2 linked regions of the Drosophila melanogaster genome follow. The protein of the gene in region 2 purifies or fractionates together with the protein of the main gene of each other region. This does not show direct contact. Each region holds a gene or a part of one and is shown on either strand. Other genes may lie near its edges. The genes, in order: CG42857 and CG2790.

Evidence for each region.
Region 1: the proteins of CG2790 (region 2) and CG42857 purify together in Drosophila melanogaster (affinity purification with mass spectrometry, with the first as the bait; one large-scale study listed by BioGRID). This does not show direct contact.

What each region holds. Positions count from the first base shown.
Region 1 is NT_033777.3:9,817,325-9,824,807, forward strand, and holds CG42857 (uncharacterized protein), read right to left. Parts: upstream 3,868-7,483; 5' UTR 3,779-3,867; coding exon 3,686-3,778; intron 3,629-3,685; coding exon 3,305-3,628; 3' UTR 3,190-3,304; downstream 1-3,189. Other genes in the region: CG9459 (uncharacterized protein), read right to left, coding at 178-747, 815-1,042; CG9458 (uncharacterized protein), read right to left, coding at 1,685-2,251, 2,316-2,543; CG34302 (uncharacterized protein), read right to left, coding at 5,775-6,287.
Region 2 is NT_033778.4:24,946,061-24,954,882, reverse strand, and holds CG2790 (uncharacterized protein), read left to right. Parts: upstream 1-6,504; 5' UTR 6,505-6,529; coding exon 6,530-7,135; intron 7,136-7,196; coding exon 7,197-8,213; 3' UTR 8,214-8,322; downstream 8,323-8,822. Other genes in the region: CG12851 (uncharacterized protein), read right to left, coding at 1,610-1,830, 1,883-2,571, 2,629-2,823, 2,880-3,302, 3,373-3,928, 4,032-4,959, 5,017-5,250; CG3770 (uncharacterized protein), read right to left, coding at 8,358-8,500, 8,551-8,664, 8,720-8,822.

The sequences.
Region 1 (7,483 bases), on a different chromosome or scaffold from region 2:
ATAGAGAGTTCTAGAAACCAACAAATATCTCCCATTGCTTTATGTAAAATATATATCTATGTATAATATACGATATATACAATGATATAAAACAAATGAATTTGTTGTATCAAAAGCATTTATTAATGACATTGATTAATGTAAGGAACAGTGATATTAAATCTTAATTAGTTTTGCTCATCGGCCCACCGCCGATTTCGTTTTCTTGGGAAGAATGTAGGTGCGAACGTAGAAGTTACTAAATAGAATTATAAATACTACAGATATCAGTGAGCCCCAAGTTGCCGATAATCGTGATGTTTGACAATCAGTTTGCCGGAGGATATAGACGCTGTGCGAGAATATAATAACAAATTGGACAAGCTGAACGACTGTGATGTATTTCTTCCACCAGAGATCGCCACCCGAGTTCCGATTGAGGGACGACTGGTAGTAGTAGGTGTACATCATGGTGTGCACCACCACGTTGAAGGTGATCAAGAAGAATCCATGGCCGCCGTATCCATAATAATACATGTACAAGAAGCCTATGTACACCATGTATACGTGGTGGAAAACGTGCAGGAACGATATCTGGCGATACTTCTTTCTGAATATAAAGAACACAGTCTCCAGCAGATCCATGAGCTTGTTGAAGAAGTAGGAGTAACTGAGCCAACGCTCCCAGTTCTTGTACTCATGATCCAACGGCAGATTGGATATGCAACTGAAGTTATAGTTGCCAGGACCAAGCATGAAGTGCACACTCTTTAAATTTGGAGATACATATAATGAATATTAATATATTTTTGTTAAAAAAAAGAGCATTACTTACAAATATTAACAAAATGACATTGTATGCGATTTGCACGATGTTGTAGATCTTGATAGCTCTATCCAGATTGTAGGGCTTTTGATTCTGCATAAACCAAGGACCCACTATTTTTATGAAGACTAGATAGATTCCAAGGATGGTCAACACCGGCCAGTGGCTGCTGGTCAACGGAAGACGCACAGGATCCGGTGGCGATCGATTCAGGAAGTCCAGCATATGGGCAAACATGTCGGATATCTAAGTGTTATCGACGTCGGTGGAATAGCGACTGATGTGGACTCCGGCCGAGAACCGAGAAATGGTAATCTGCTCGTTTTCGAGGCTGATTTAAGTGTGTGTTTCTATTATACAAATACCTACATACGTAAGTAAAACCTATTACGCCGACCATATAAGAGGGTATTGCGGTCACAAAGTAAGGAAAATAGGTTTCCATCGCTTGGAATGCCGGATATGTTGAACATCCACTGTCCCCTGGTTACGAAAGGTAAAATAATGGCATTCGTATTTAGTTTTTAATGTAGTCCAGTTTTAAATGCAGTCCAGTTTTTAATGCCTTTTGACGTAATAACTTTAACGTATTCTAAGATCAATCGATTTTATATAATTCTAACCGTGTCACTTCTAATGAAGTTTACTTACACTTTGTTTGATATTGATATTTTCGTAGTAATAGCATACAATTTCGGGCAAAGTCTTGTGTTATTCCACCTTTTCCATCATAATATTCATCCGAATATCAGTCATTACTAGTAAACAGATATACAATTCAAATACATCTTTATGTTTTTTATTAGCTCTAAAATTAAAATAGGTTTCTCTATAGAGATCTAAATGCTGCACAGAACAAATCTGATGACTGGCTCTAGCTTAGATGTTTTTCTGTTTCCTTTTCTTGGGTCGAATATAGGCATGAAAATAGAAGTTGCTAAATAAGATGATGAACACAACGGAGATGCTGCCGGCACAGGTCGCCGAGAACCGGGCTGATGGACAGTCCGGTTGCTTTAGGGTGTAGATACTATGCCCCAGAACGATTCCAAACTGGATGAGCTGAACGATAGTGATGTACTTCTTCCACCACAGATCGCCCTTCGAATCGCGATTGAGCGACGACTGATAGTAGTAGCTGTACATCATGATGTGCACGACGACGTTGAAGAAGCACATAAAGAACCCATGACCACCGTATCCGTAGTAGTACAGATACATAAAGCTGAAGTACAGCATGTACATGTGATGGAAGACGTGCAGAAAGGATATCTGGCGATCCTTCTTTCGCAGCACAAAGAAGACCGTCTCCAGCAGATCGAGCAGCTTATTGAAGAAGTACGAGTACGTAAGCCAGCGCTCCCAGGTCTTGTACTCATGATCCGGCGGCAGGTTCTTGATGCACTTAAAGTTATAGTCTCCGGGTCCCAGCATGAAGTGGACAGCCTGTAAAGTGGAATTTCTATATTAAACAATCCGTGATGGTTGATATTTTTGGGGGGAAACTCACAAAAAAGCACATGATGACATTGTACACGATCTGCATGATGTTGTACGCCTTTATCAGACCGCGAAGGTCAAAGGGCTTTCGATTCCGCATGATCTTTGGACCCGCTATCTTTACGAAGAACAGGTAGGTGGCCAATACCATCAGGACGGGCTTGTGGCTGGCCAGGAGTGGCAGGCGCACAGGATCGGGTGGGGATTTGCCCAAAAAGTCCACTAGATCACCCAACATTGCGATTGTGTGTGCTTACCGTGGATCGATGGAAATGCGACTAATTTTATTGTGGTTTATAAGCTTCGATAAACACGCTTAATTGGTATGGTAATTTAGGCGTGAGTACGGCAAGTAGGGTTTACCAATACTCGAAGCATGCGACAAATGCATGATTTGTATTTAATTTGAAGAGCCTGAGGAGGCAGACAGTGAAAGTAACCATGAAAATTGATTCCCCTTGGCTTTAAATCAATACCAATAATGCAAAACTTTCCACGTACCTTCGCAACTTTAAACATGATTATGAAAATTCCATTAAAAGTTTAATGGGCTCCCGGGAAATGTTCGAAAATCACGCACATGCGAAACGAAAGCGGTACAAAAAGATGGGCGGCCATTTTCGTATCGCATCGGGTTACGCAGTGGGCGTGGCCAAACTGCAACTGCAGCAACTTCCATGCAAAGCGGATGCGAAAATGGTACATAAACAAATACCGCCACATCACGCACATCCAGTGCAACAAAAGTGGCAACAGCCATAACAAATTTAGAACTAAATACGGGTCGCGGCATCTAGTGCACTTATTTAAATGCAATAGTGGGTTTTAATACAATGTACATACATATATGTGTCGAAATCAACTTTAAAAGAGTCTACCAATTTCGTTTTGTGCTTTTTATTAAGCGCTTCAATAGATGGCAATGAGCATATGTCGAAACTAGTTTAATTAGATACCAGTCGCTGCCTTATAAAACTGAAAAATCAGGCCAAGTACATATCACTCGTTGTCGGCTGTCTCACTAATGGCCACATACTTCCGATTCTTAATTATCACAGTTTGCATGAGTAAAGGTGTGATAGTCGGCATACGATGCACCTTAGGTGGATCAATTGCACGTGGATTGTAGCTTTTGAGAGGGCGCATTTTCTTTTCCTTCTTCTCAGTTTCCACACATTGATCAACTGCTTTCTTTGCTATCCTTTCGCTTTTATCCTGGCACGTGATCCTTTTCATTTTCGGCTGTTTGGCAACTCCGTTCTTTTTAAGATTCTCAGCTTTAATTAGCTGTTTTTTTTCCTGAAACGTGCTCTTAAAGCATATCTGCAAGATTTAACATAAGTTTACAATTTTCACATAACTAGTAACTTGCTTTCATACTGGACACACGTAGATTAGCTTTAAGGTCACAGGATCCTTTGCCATCTTCCTGGTTCTTACGTTGCACAAAGAACAGGTGGAAAAAGGCGGCATTTCTAAAATGATTTTCTTAAATAATCTAGCAAACTGCAACACGTGACGAATAGTAAGACCTTGTGCAGCTATCTGTTTTTTTTGACACTGGCAGCATTGTTTTCGCCATTTTCGATAAGCCAATTAATTTTGGTATTTCATGAAGATGCCAGGGCTGCGGAATTTAAACTTAAATGAAATCCGAAATCCGAATGCATCCCTAGGAATGTTATCAACATTCATTAGCATTCGTTGCCAAATTGCTCAACTTTTTAAGTGCTTTGATTTGCATTGCATTGTGAGTGGAAAGTGGAAAGTGGACATGAATGTGGATGTGGGAGTGGGGTATACATATAACGCTGGCTTGGCAACTGCACCCAGTTTTCAAGTGCATCTGCATTCGAAGTTGAAAGCTGGTACCGAATCCTGTGTAGCTGTGTAAACGACCTTTGATGTGGGCCTGGTTGGTTGGTTGGTTGGTTGGTTGGTTGTTCGGTTGGTCGTTGGTTTAGTCTCGACTCGTATTCGCATTAACGCCATTAGGCCAATTTGGCACTTTGCCCTGGCCCCGAAAAGGCGCGCACGGAGAACTTTCACAAACAAAAGGTAACAAACGGCGTCAGGATGTTGCAATAGCTCTCCTTCTGCGCCACCTCGAAAGCCACCCGAAAAGCAGCCAAGAGTCACCCAACTACTCCGTTCCTCCTTGCCGTTCCACTCCATGCCACTCACATGCCAATGCCCGTGTAAATAAAAGTCAAGTGAGGAAAACAAATAAATTAGAAGCGCATCCTCCGCTCGTTGGCAACGGGCATTTCTCTTCGTTATTGCGCGACTGCCTTTAATTACGACACCAGGCGGCTGAAAGGAGCTGGAGATGCTGTTGCAAAGTCCTGCCCGAGTATTCCCCCACTCTCCCCAATTTCCACTTTCCAGTGCACCCCCCCCGGTTTGCCCAGTGCCACCTCGTGCTCCGTGCTCCGCCACAGCGTAGCATCCTCAATTTATGTTTATTTGAAAGCTGTTGCACTTGACTAATGTCCTCTCCGTCTGGCCTCTCATCCTGCCACTTAGCAGGATGCGGCGACATTCACAGGCTCTTGGACTTTGGCCATCTGGTATTTAAGCCATCAAATCCACATCATTTTGGCCAGCAGCCCGTGTTCAGGATGAGCATGTGTCACCCAAATGGTTATCAGAAAGGAATGCTTATTGATTTTTACTATGTTATAAAATATTTGTTAAATTTGATATATATATAATTGCTTACATAGGATAAGTTAACTCATATAAGCTTGTTCCCAAAACGACTCCATCAATAAATAAATCGATCTATTGATCCACAATCCAAGTGGATCCCTTGCCCTGGACTTCCCGGAATAAATTCGAGTGTAATTGACGGCGCATTTGATTTATTAGTTTTCTCATTAAACAAATTGTTGAACAATGCCGGGCAAAGAACAATACACTGTGCGACATTCCATGGTACACGCACACATACATATAATATCTCGCCCAGCACTTGGGTTTATTTATGTAGATTGATGGTCATTCGTGTAAACACATCCATTGACGTAAATTTGAATAAACATTTTCATTAGCCAAATGTCCATGAGCCCCTGGAGACAGTCGGAGCTTGATATCTGATGGGCAATGGACGATGGACGATGGGCAATGGACGATGGTAATGATGACCTGGCAATCACATTTGCTCAATTGGATTCGACTTGGTCGCTGCCCGGATTTTGGGTAATTTATTACACCGGCTAAAAGTACCAATTACAAGGCATCCGATTCAATCCTTTCCACGATTCCCTGGTGAGGAATTGACCTTCGGTCAAATTGGTAATGACCCATTATCACATAAACATAAACATAAACAGCTTTCAGTTTTTGGAAAAAAAAAGTTTACAATTTACCAAAAGGTGTATAAATACTTTATTATATCACGTTATCATTTATATGTATATTTCTCAGAAATATTTGTACTTTCTTTTGTATTAAAAGTGGATAGCAGCTACAAATTTCGTTTTCTATTTTCGCGCTTATTGTATTTATTTTCGTCATTGATCTCTGACGAAATGGTGGGTATATCTGCAAGCAGGTCAATATTTTTCTGAAACATCAGCATGTCTGCATCGACGATATCCGGTATATTCCAATAGTCCTCATTGACTTCGTATTTTGGATTTTTGTCATAGAAGGAACCGGTGAGTACGGAAAGCTGTAACTGCTGGCGAATCTTCTGGAACAGCTCAAGTTTCTGTTGGCGCTGCAATCTCACCTCGGCAATCACGCGTTGAAAGGTGGGGTCCATATGGCTCTTATCCTGGGCATCCGAACAGCGAGCAATGTTCACAAGGAAAGCCTTCGATTGGTCCACGGTCAGTCTCAGTCCGTCCATTGGTTTCTTTCCGGCCCAAAGAGTTAAGCAGCGGGCACACAATCCAGTCGGAAAATGGTATACCAAATTGGAGCACATCTCACATTTGGTAATTTCCAAAAGAGGATTACGGCGGAGTGGATCCATCGTGTTAATCGCTGGCAGGTCTTTAGCAAATGCAACTCCCTGCGAAATGTTCTCTGTCACTTCGATAGTCTTGAAAACGGGCCACTTTTTTGCGTAACCTCAAAAAAGTTCGATAAATGAAATCTCTAAAATAGGGTTAACACCTTTACAATGGTTTCTTATTGGAATTTTAGTCCCTATTGTTTTTGAATGCAAATCAAAAACTTGATTGACCGTTAAAAAATATTTTTGGCACGGTTATATTTTTAATAGTAATTTAGCAGTGCCTGCAATTTTTGTGTAAATACAAATTACACATCTTTTCCATCAAGTAATTGAAATAAAAAAGTTCCCCCTCCGCCGGCAAGTAGTTTTCCACCCATTTTGTCAGGTGAATTCATCCACATTTATCAGCTGTAAAAATCTTCAGCTCCCAAAGCAAGGACTTCTTAAACCTTAACTCTTTTGGAGGCCGACGCTGCTCTCTTTTTTTTCTCCAGCTCAGAACGGAATTCGTTTAATTTGTTAAATTGAAATTATGGTAATTTCCTGCAGTCATGCGAACCTTTTCATACCCGTTCGTGTCTGGCCGGAACCAATGACGAGAGGCCTGGGCCGGATGGAGGGGCCACCCAACGTTGGCTGATGGCTGTTAGCTAACCGAAAGTCAAGTTCATAAATTTGAGGCCCACGGTGCGAGGAGAACTACCTGTCCAGGTTTTGGTGGTCGCACTCATTGCAGCAGCACGCCTCATGGCTCAATCCGCCTGCCCCCCAATCCTCGTGTCACCCTCCTGGCCCATGCCATTTGCCTGACGCCTCCAATCCGAAGGTTGGAGCCCGGCTAATCGATAGCTCTCCATGGCGATGGACGGGGTGGGTGTTGATTTATGGCATTGCCGACGCACCGAAACTCGCTCCGAGATCCGACGAAAGTGACACATTAATGTGTTCAATTGAAGTGCCAACTACCTGCCGCTTTGTTCCTCCTCATCCGCAGCGCAGGTGGTGGAGGAGGAGGACCAGCCAGGACAGTTGGAAACAAAAAGCGCCCCCGGTGCTCTGGCAGCTTGTTAAGCTCGTTGTTCTCTCAATTGCTCCTCCAAGTGGAGCCCTTCCTTCCAATTTGCGCATTTTCAAGCCATCAATCGCTAGGATACAGCAATCAGTGGTGGGTAGGGTACAATGTCTTCATATGTGATATGTTTGTAAAACAA
Region 2 (8,822 bases):
TGCAGGTCCAAGCCGTCATTGTGGGCTGGGTGGAACTACGCATTAGCTGCCCATTTAAAGTTCAAAATAGCGAGTTCGATGTCTTGATATCGCGGCGTGCGTCTTTCGTTTTGCAGGCCAGCGTTCGATGTTCAAGTGTCGCGTCGCGGGTGAAACTAATTAAGTAAATTTAACACATCATACTGAACCACTACCCCTCCTGTCCAGAGGCACTAGGAGCAGGCACTAGTACGTAAGCAAAAACGAAAATTTAAATTTTAATATCGATGAGCAACAAGCTCGCAAATCTACAGAGACATACGTACTACTAAGAAGAACAAACAAAACCGTTAAGAATTATTTAATTCATTTATACTTACAGTTCTGTGGATCTCCTTAGATTTTGGATATGGTTTGATTTTGGTCTTAGGATTTTCATTAGATTTATTATCACGTTACAGTATGACTTAGATAATGTATTCATCGTGTAGGTTCTACAGCGTCTATTATTTATATTAATTGGGTACACAACACCATAAATAATTACATGAGTCGATTAATCCAAATTACAACCAAATTTTCCCAATTGGTAAACATTAAAATTTTTGCCAATACAACAAAATTTTAAATTCATGGTAATGCCAGCTGGAATATAATTCGATTTCCTTCTGATTATTTCAATTTCTGGCATAGAAACTCAATAGTCTTTATCTACTTAACCAAGGAAACAAAACAGTAAAACAATGCCTTTTCTTTTCATTATTCTACAAAAAATTTGGCTAAACAATTTTCATTTGGATGGATCTTAATATGGTTTACTTAAAGGTCTACTTTTGAATACTTTTCTAATATAGATAATTAGGTGAAATGTGTTGTCAAGTTTAGTAATAAGATGAGCTCTATAAGTGTAGTCGACGTTCAAATGGGATTTGCATTGAAAGGTTAGTATATTTTCCACATTAACGCACACGCGCTGACGCTCGTTAAAAACTAAGGAATACTACCAGTTATTAACTTATGTAGTTTGGTTTGGTTACTAATATCAACGTATTCAAGCTATGATTGGATAGTATGAGTTGGTAGGATAGTATGATGGACATGCCACGGAAATAGTGTTCTGAACATACTTTCAGCTTGGGCATATAGACCGTTAAAATATATGTTTCGAATTTTTCATGAAAACAATGTGTATCCAAAACAAAATTGATGTAAATAACAGAAACGATTAATTTCAACAGAATATTACTTAGTATACACATTCTTTGATATGCTTTAACTAAAATCTATGGTGTCTAAAGTACATTTTAAAACTGAAAATATTACTTTGAAAACTTCTGGGTTATGATTACGATTGTAATGTAACACTTCCATCAAAAACAATTTGCTACATTCTAAATACTTTTTGTGATAAGATTCTGCACCAGTTCATATGTTCTATTACGGCCCTTGAGTATTCTAGTATTTTTGTAAATAATCGTCTCCCCTTATAAGTTAATGTTATTGCGCTTCGTTTCAGTGTCTAGTCTGAGGGACTCTTTTGGACTCTATATCTTAGCCAACTAGTTACTGTCTATATGATGCATTGTAAATAAGTATGATGATGATATTAGTCCTAGTAGTTCACTCAGTTCTATTCGCCATTAAATCCACTCAGTTGATGGCTTTGATGCTCCAAGCTGCGCTTTAAATCGAAAATGGTATTCAGTATGAGCTGCTGCTTGCGGTTACTACCGCCTATTGCATGGCCCTTGGCCTCGTCAACGGTCACGTCTTGCATAGAGCTCTTGGCCGACACGGAGGCCAAAAGCTTAATTTGCGAACGCTCATTTGACTTGCACCGTCCGTTTGAATCTGTGTATCATTTGATTAAATACTTCACTTACAAACAAGGCGAATTACTTACCCAATTCGAAGTCGAAGTTTTTTTTTATGCGCTCGAACGATGAGCTACCCTTGTATACCTTGCGCTTTAAGGGCTCGCTGTGTGGGCAGTAAAAGTTGTTATTAATATTTAATTCGGCATGCAATGGGTTTTCCATTTTCGTATTCGATCCATATTTTCCATCCCTCGTATTCGATTGCGGCTGAGGCAAGTAGTTGTGATTGCCAATATCCTCTACAGCTATGCACTCCATCTCAGGATCACTGCCGTTGAAGCTGATCACCGTTGTCGTGGTAGAAGAAGTCACCATCATCGTGCGTCGCTTGCTCTTTGGACTCTCCTGAATACTCCTTCCATTTAGCTGAAGTTGTGGCGAGAGTGGAGCAGAGGGAGGGTTGCCTTTTATTTTTCGTGGTGGCAACTCTGGTGGAGCATTTTGATTCATAAAGTTGGTCAGATGCGTTTTGCGAGGACTGTAACGGGCAGGCTTGGGACTGTTTGGTGGCGAAGAAGCAGACGATGTCTCAAACTTGAGCATCTCTATGCGCTTATTAATGGCTGCTGCTAACTCATGCTCAAGAGGAGGAGAGTTAAGAACCAGAGTCTGTTTTTTGGAGTCCACCACTTCACTGTTTTTAAGCATTTCCACCCGCTTGTTAGCTAAGGGATTCACTCGTCTTGGGCTGGCGACAGGCGTGTCTCTGGGAATGCTAATGGTGATATGTTATTAATAACGAACCAAATATTTAAACTTTATCATTCCTTACCTCTGTAAGCTGTTCTTCATCGATTCCAGCAAAGACTCCGCTTCCATAATTAGTTGTTTATATTTCATATCAGCCTCCAAGTCTGCCTTAAGAAGTGCTTTTTCGCTTTCTGCGATGGTGAGTGTTGACTTTTTTTTTATGCTTCCAAAGATTAGCGAGTTGGAGCGGTTTGACAGGGGAGACGTTTTGTATATTCTTTAAACAAAATATTTTAAAATCCTATATATAATTATTAAATTGTTGTCTTATACCTCTCACTTGGACCCAGTAGATTGCGGCGCAAACAGACGGGCGTGCCACCCACACTTCGGGTGCCACGAGGCTCACGAAGAGGTGACGAAGAAGTCTTTTCGCGATTTTCACAACTCTTCTTACGTGTTTTAAGGAACCTCTTGCGTCGGCGCTGTTGGGAGCTTTCCCCCGTCTCCTGACCGCTCTTGCGTCGGGAACGGACTGATGCCTTTCGATTGAGCACCGGACTGATAGGGTGATTAGAATAGTAGTGACAGTTGCCCAGATTTCGTGACAGATCCTTGCGGTCAAGTTCCACCTCTTGCATGGATGAAGTGTCTATAAAGTCAATGTCCAACAACTCGTCTGTGTCACACTCATCACCCGCATCCTGTCCAGTATCTAGCTCCGAAGCACAGCAGTCCGTAAGGTCTGAATCACTGCTAGAAGTCGAATTAAATATAAGAAGGCAACTTAAGTTGACTTGGCGAGCACTGAACGACTCCAACTCACCTTAATATATCAGTTTCCTTTTCGTAAATGTAACTCTCGTCGAACTTCCCAATCATTTCATTAAGGGTGGCCTCGTCATCACTAAGAACGAAGGATGTAGTGGTAGCTCCAGTTCCACCACCAGCTGCCACGGGCGCTGAAGTTGTTGTAGTCTCGGCGTGGTCCAAGTGACGCCGCTTAATGGTATGTGGGGCATGCACATTTTCCAATTCAGTCGAAGTCGAGGAGCCCTCGGATTCATAAACAACTCCAGCCCCAGGTGCAACACCAGCCCCTCCCCCAACAATGTCTATATCAGCCTGTTTGGCTGCCTGGCTAGGAGTAGCTCTGCAGTTGGAGGTTGCTGCATAAGGGACTGGCTTCCCTGCTTTGTTTGCTATTGTTTTGGCCACCGGAACTTCCAGTTCATTGCTTGACTTAATGCCCGACGAGGTCGTGGAGGTAGTACTGGTCGCATCCAGATCCAAGCGTGTGGGGCCTGTCGTGCTAGGCAAGAGCTCTCCCGTGTTGTACCAGGGATTTGTTCTTATACGACAGCGCTGTCTCGGCGAGGGAGCTGCAAAAAAGGAGATGAGAGATGCTACTTCAGCCAAGTAGAGATTTTAAATGGGTTAATTGCTCAGTTTGCCAGCAGCCGGGCTAACAACACTGAAACTCACACTCAAAGAGCTTTGACTGCTGCCGCAGAGCTAGCGAACTAGGCGACGACTCCGGGCCATGAGTGGCAGTTGCGAAGTTGCTCTTGGGCAACGGATCCATAGGCGACATCTCCTCTATGCGGTTAAGGCCGAACTTGTACCGCTGGGCCTCGACGGCCAGCGAGTTGACGCTCTTCGGGAAATAGTGGGTTCCCGAGCGCATGTTAATGTAGTACTCAGGTGGATTGTAGTTGCTGGCGGCGCATGGCGATGTGCCATCTGTGGAGTAGCCCGTGGAATAAGCGCTTTCTGGCGAGGGCAAGCTGTGTGGCCGGGGTCCCGAAATAAAATTATTGCGCTGAATTCCTCGTGGAGTTCGAATACGCGAGCCGGTAAGTGAAGCGGGTGGAATAGGCGGTGTAGCTGTCAAATTATCCAGTGACTCGCCATGCTGAGCCGGTGCTAGCTTGGAGGGAAGCAGGCGACCGTAACGAACATGATTCTTGCTTTGCCTTGGCTCTTCCTTGTAGATTAGACGCACGGCACTTAAGTTTTCTGACTGCGGGCGCTGTTGTTCTGCAATGGGTGGTGCATGCCGAAGCAGCAAAGCGCCAACTTCCTCGTACTCCACCTCCTCCTCAGGTGGGATGTGGTATTCCCCATTTAAGGACTGCTCTCTAAAAATTGCTTGTTTGCCAGAAGAGGGCTCCTTGGATCCCGTTGACCAGGACAACGACGATATGGAGGACGAAGAGCAGTTTACCCTGGTGGGCGATTTCTCCGCATAGGTTTCCTTGCTATTGGGCACGCTTAAGTGGTGCGACGGCTGCTGGAGCGGTTGATGCGGCTGATAGCAGTGCGGAGCGTGAAGCAAATTGTCCGACTTGGGCGAGGCTATGACGTAGGAATCTTCATCTGGGGATTGCCAGCCATATCGACGACTGGGTGGCTACGAAAATATGATCGACGTAAGCATTTGTATATTCCTAGGAAGGAAGCTACTTACGTGACACTGGATGGGGGAGACCTCGCGCCTCCGCACCGGACTGGCGATGCTGTGGCTTCCGCTACTGGTCAGGACCGGGCTAGTTAGGTTGCTGCCCTGTGTTGGTAAGGTGCCCGCCTTCTTCCCCACGCAAGAACTGCCTGCGTCCACGGTCCCTTGCTTGTGTTTACTGCCCTTCTTCCGCGGACGCACAATATGCGTCTCCATCCAGGAGCGCAGCTTGGATCCAAACATAGTGGTATTCTAGTCTTAGCCGATGTGGACGGACGGTAATTCCTGAAAGGGGAGTTCATTAAGCTGGCTGCAATTCAGCTGCAACAATGAAGAGGAGTGGACTCCTGGGACCACTTTGCGCTGATAAGGAAATCCATTTACTACGGCACAAAAGCCGAATGGCTTTTCAGTAGGGACACATTTTCTATAGTTTGGGTGGGAGGCTGTGCTGGAATTTTATGCGAAATTACCTTACTTGCAAATGTGGCAGACAACGTTGTCCTCATATCCTTTGCGCCTTCTTTTATTTTGGCGCCCACACACACACCCGCACAAGAGATGAAAGGGCAATGGTAAATCTACACCAGAACACACACGGACTTCGTCGGCTTTCTATACTTGTGTTTGTTTGTTTTTTGTTGACGGTTATTTTTGGCCGTTATTCATTACTTCGCGCCGAGTACCGACGCACCCAATGTTGTGGGGGTTGTTCGTAAGCAGAGATGCTTCAAGGACTCCACTCCCGCACTCACTCGACGTAAGTATGTGTGTGTATGTGAAGGCCTGTCTGTGTGTTACAGCCCACGGTTGTAAATCCCACGTAACTGTAAATTTTATGTCAAGCTATTTTCCTTTTCGTATGCAGACTCAAATGCTAAACGACATTTTGGCACTTTGCTTGTATCGTTATGGGTGATTGGCAATAGTCGAGCTTCGATTCCAGTCGATTATTATTTAGTTTATGCAAATTATGTATAAATGCTTCGGAAACTAAGGGAAAAAAGCACCGTTACGTCCTGGGAAAAACTACAACTTCTGATGTGTTTAACTGCTGCTTTTCACAGGAACCTTTCCGATTTTATTTTTTTTCTCTGCCTGTGTATAGGTATGCGATGTGTGAGCTTCGGTGGTAGTGAGAAAAGCATGCGGCAGAATTTAGTCAACTAAGGATGCGCGGACACGGATGAAAAGAAACGTCCGTCGCCGTCGAAAGTAAAAAAGCTAATGACGGGATGCGCAGTTACGTATGACTGCTAGGAGATGCCACTTGCAGTTTAGCCACTTAACTGGGTAACTGTAATTTCAAGACCTTGTAAGAATAGGCTTCTATTGTTTTCCTAACGTTTTTTTCAGCTATTACAATAAACGCAAAACGCTCTCAGCCCAAAAGTAAGCTACTTTGCAAGATATTTACGTTCCCCTTCCAGCGCTTTGCAGCACTGACAACGCATCTGTGAGCGCCAGCTGTCTTTCCGCCCATCTGGCAACTCTATCAAAATTATTTGTTGTTCTAAGAAACATGCGTTGCTATTACGAGGAGCTCGAGCTCCAAAGAAACGCCAACGATGGGGACATCAAGAGTGCGTACCGTAAGATGGCCCTGCGCTGGCACCCGGACAAGAATCCCGACCGACTGGCGGAGGCCAAAGAGCGCTTCCAGCTGATCCAGCAAGCGTATGAAGTTCTGTCTGATCCTCAGGAACGGTCTTGGTACGACAACCATCGCGAGCAGATCTTGCGCGGCAAGAACTCCGATTATGCGGAGAACTGCCTGGACGTGTTCCAGTTCTTCACGAGCTCCTGTTACAAGGGCTATGGCGACAATGAGCACGGCTTTTACCGCGTGTACACCGATGTCTTCGTCCAAATCGCCTCGGAGGACTTAGAGTTCATGGACAAGGACGACCGGTTGGGGATGGCGCCTGACTTTGGTCATTCAAACAGTAGTTACGAAGATGTGGTGGGTCCGTTCTACGCCTTTTGGCAGGCATACAGTACCCGGAAGACCTACGACTGGCTGTGTCCCTACGATGTTCGCGAAATAAAAGAGCGCTTTATCCTACGCAAGGTGGAGAAGGAGATGAAAAAGATCGTTCAGGCTGCCCGCAAGGAACGCAACGAAGAGGTGGGCGATGAATTCCCTTTTTTTTCTTCCGAGACACATTTTACTTACCTCATTTACTTAGGTTCGCAACTTAGTCAACTTTGTGCGAAAAAGGGATCCCAGAGTGCAGGCCTACAGGCGCATGCTTGAGGAACGCGTCGAGGCCAATCGACTTAAGCAGGAGGAGAAGCGCAAAGAGCAGTTAAGGAAGCGCCAGGAAGAACTGGCAGCCGTCAGGAAAAATAATGTCTTTAACGAGGGCTACGAGGAGCAGCTAAAGCAGTTAGAGCAGCAGTACGATAGCAAGTCAGAAGATTACACGGATGAAGACGAGAACGACGACGATGGCGAGGACTTTGACCATGAAGGCGGCCAGGAAGCCGAGGAGTACGAAGTGGAGTATGTAGACGATCTTTACTGCGTGGCATGCAACAAGACATTTAAAAACGCCAAGGCGCGTGCTAATCACGAAGAAAGCAAGAAGCATAATGAAAATGTCGACCGGCTGTGTCAGGAAATGGAGGAAGAAGAGGACGCTTTCCACAATGAACCCCATGAAGACAGTTTAATGGGCGTACAGGAATCGCTGGAAGAATTGCAAGTCTCTGAGGATCAGATATCTTTCGACGGGGTTCCAAGCGAAGAAGAATCTTCGCTAGCCAAACGAACCAAAAAAAACAAAAAGGCAAGGAAGTCAGCTGTCAAGCAAGCGCAGGCGGAAGGCAGTGACGAACCAGATGAGCCAATAGAAAAGAAGGCAATCAAGAGCGAGTCAGAGGATGAAGACTGGAGTAAAGGCAAAAAAGCGAGCAAAAAGAGTAAAAGCAAAAAGACGACGACTAGGAAGGTTAAGCTATTAGAGCAAACTGTTTCGGAACCGAATACAAAGGAGGCAACAGTGGCTCCCAAAAGCGGAGATGAGGACCTCGACCCGACCAAGTCGCAACACACTTGTGTTACCTGTAGGCTTGTCTTTGACTCCAAGAACAAGCTGTTTGCCCACCTAAAGAAGACGAACCATGGTGTCTACATACCTAAGGCAAAGCCTAATGTTGAGGGCAAGCCTCCTGGCAAAGCTAAGGGCAAGCGCAACAAGTAGGGTCGTATAGATATCCACCCACACCTTGTATCTATACTGTAGAATGTTAAAAGTTTATTTATGCTAATGATAAATTTAATTCGAGAATGAAGTTAAGTATGCTCGCTCCAAGTCAGATAGTGTTCTTATTGTATTCAAAGGCAGCTACGGAATACAGACCAGTTTACTGCCCGCCTCCACGCGTCTGCGAACTCGAGTTCGCATATTGGAAGACTCTGCCTTTAGGCTTATACCGGCGGCAGTAAATGTTAGGAGTACCCCAATGATTCCGCAGTAGAATGAAACTCCTGTAAGGATTAAGTTTAGTAAGTTTCTAAGAAAAGTTTCAAAGAATTACCTATGCTACAGTCGGCGGGGTAAAAGGGTTCGGCATCCATGCCGCATAGACGTTGAATCCGGTTCGCTCGCCATCCCATCGGATGCAGAAATAGACCCAACATCATACATATTCCTATAAACAATGCAAACTTAAATGCTGCGAGGATATCACAGTAATGGTTGCTTACCTGCTACGACCTGGGCGCAGGCCGTCATGTTGTGTATGCTCTTGCCACAGGCCGACTGGCGGCAGCAGGTGATCAGGGTCAGGATCACCGTTACAGAGAGTAG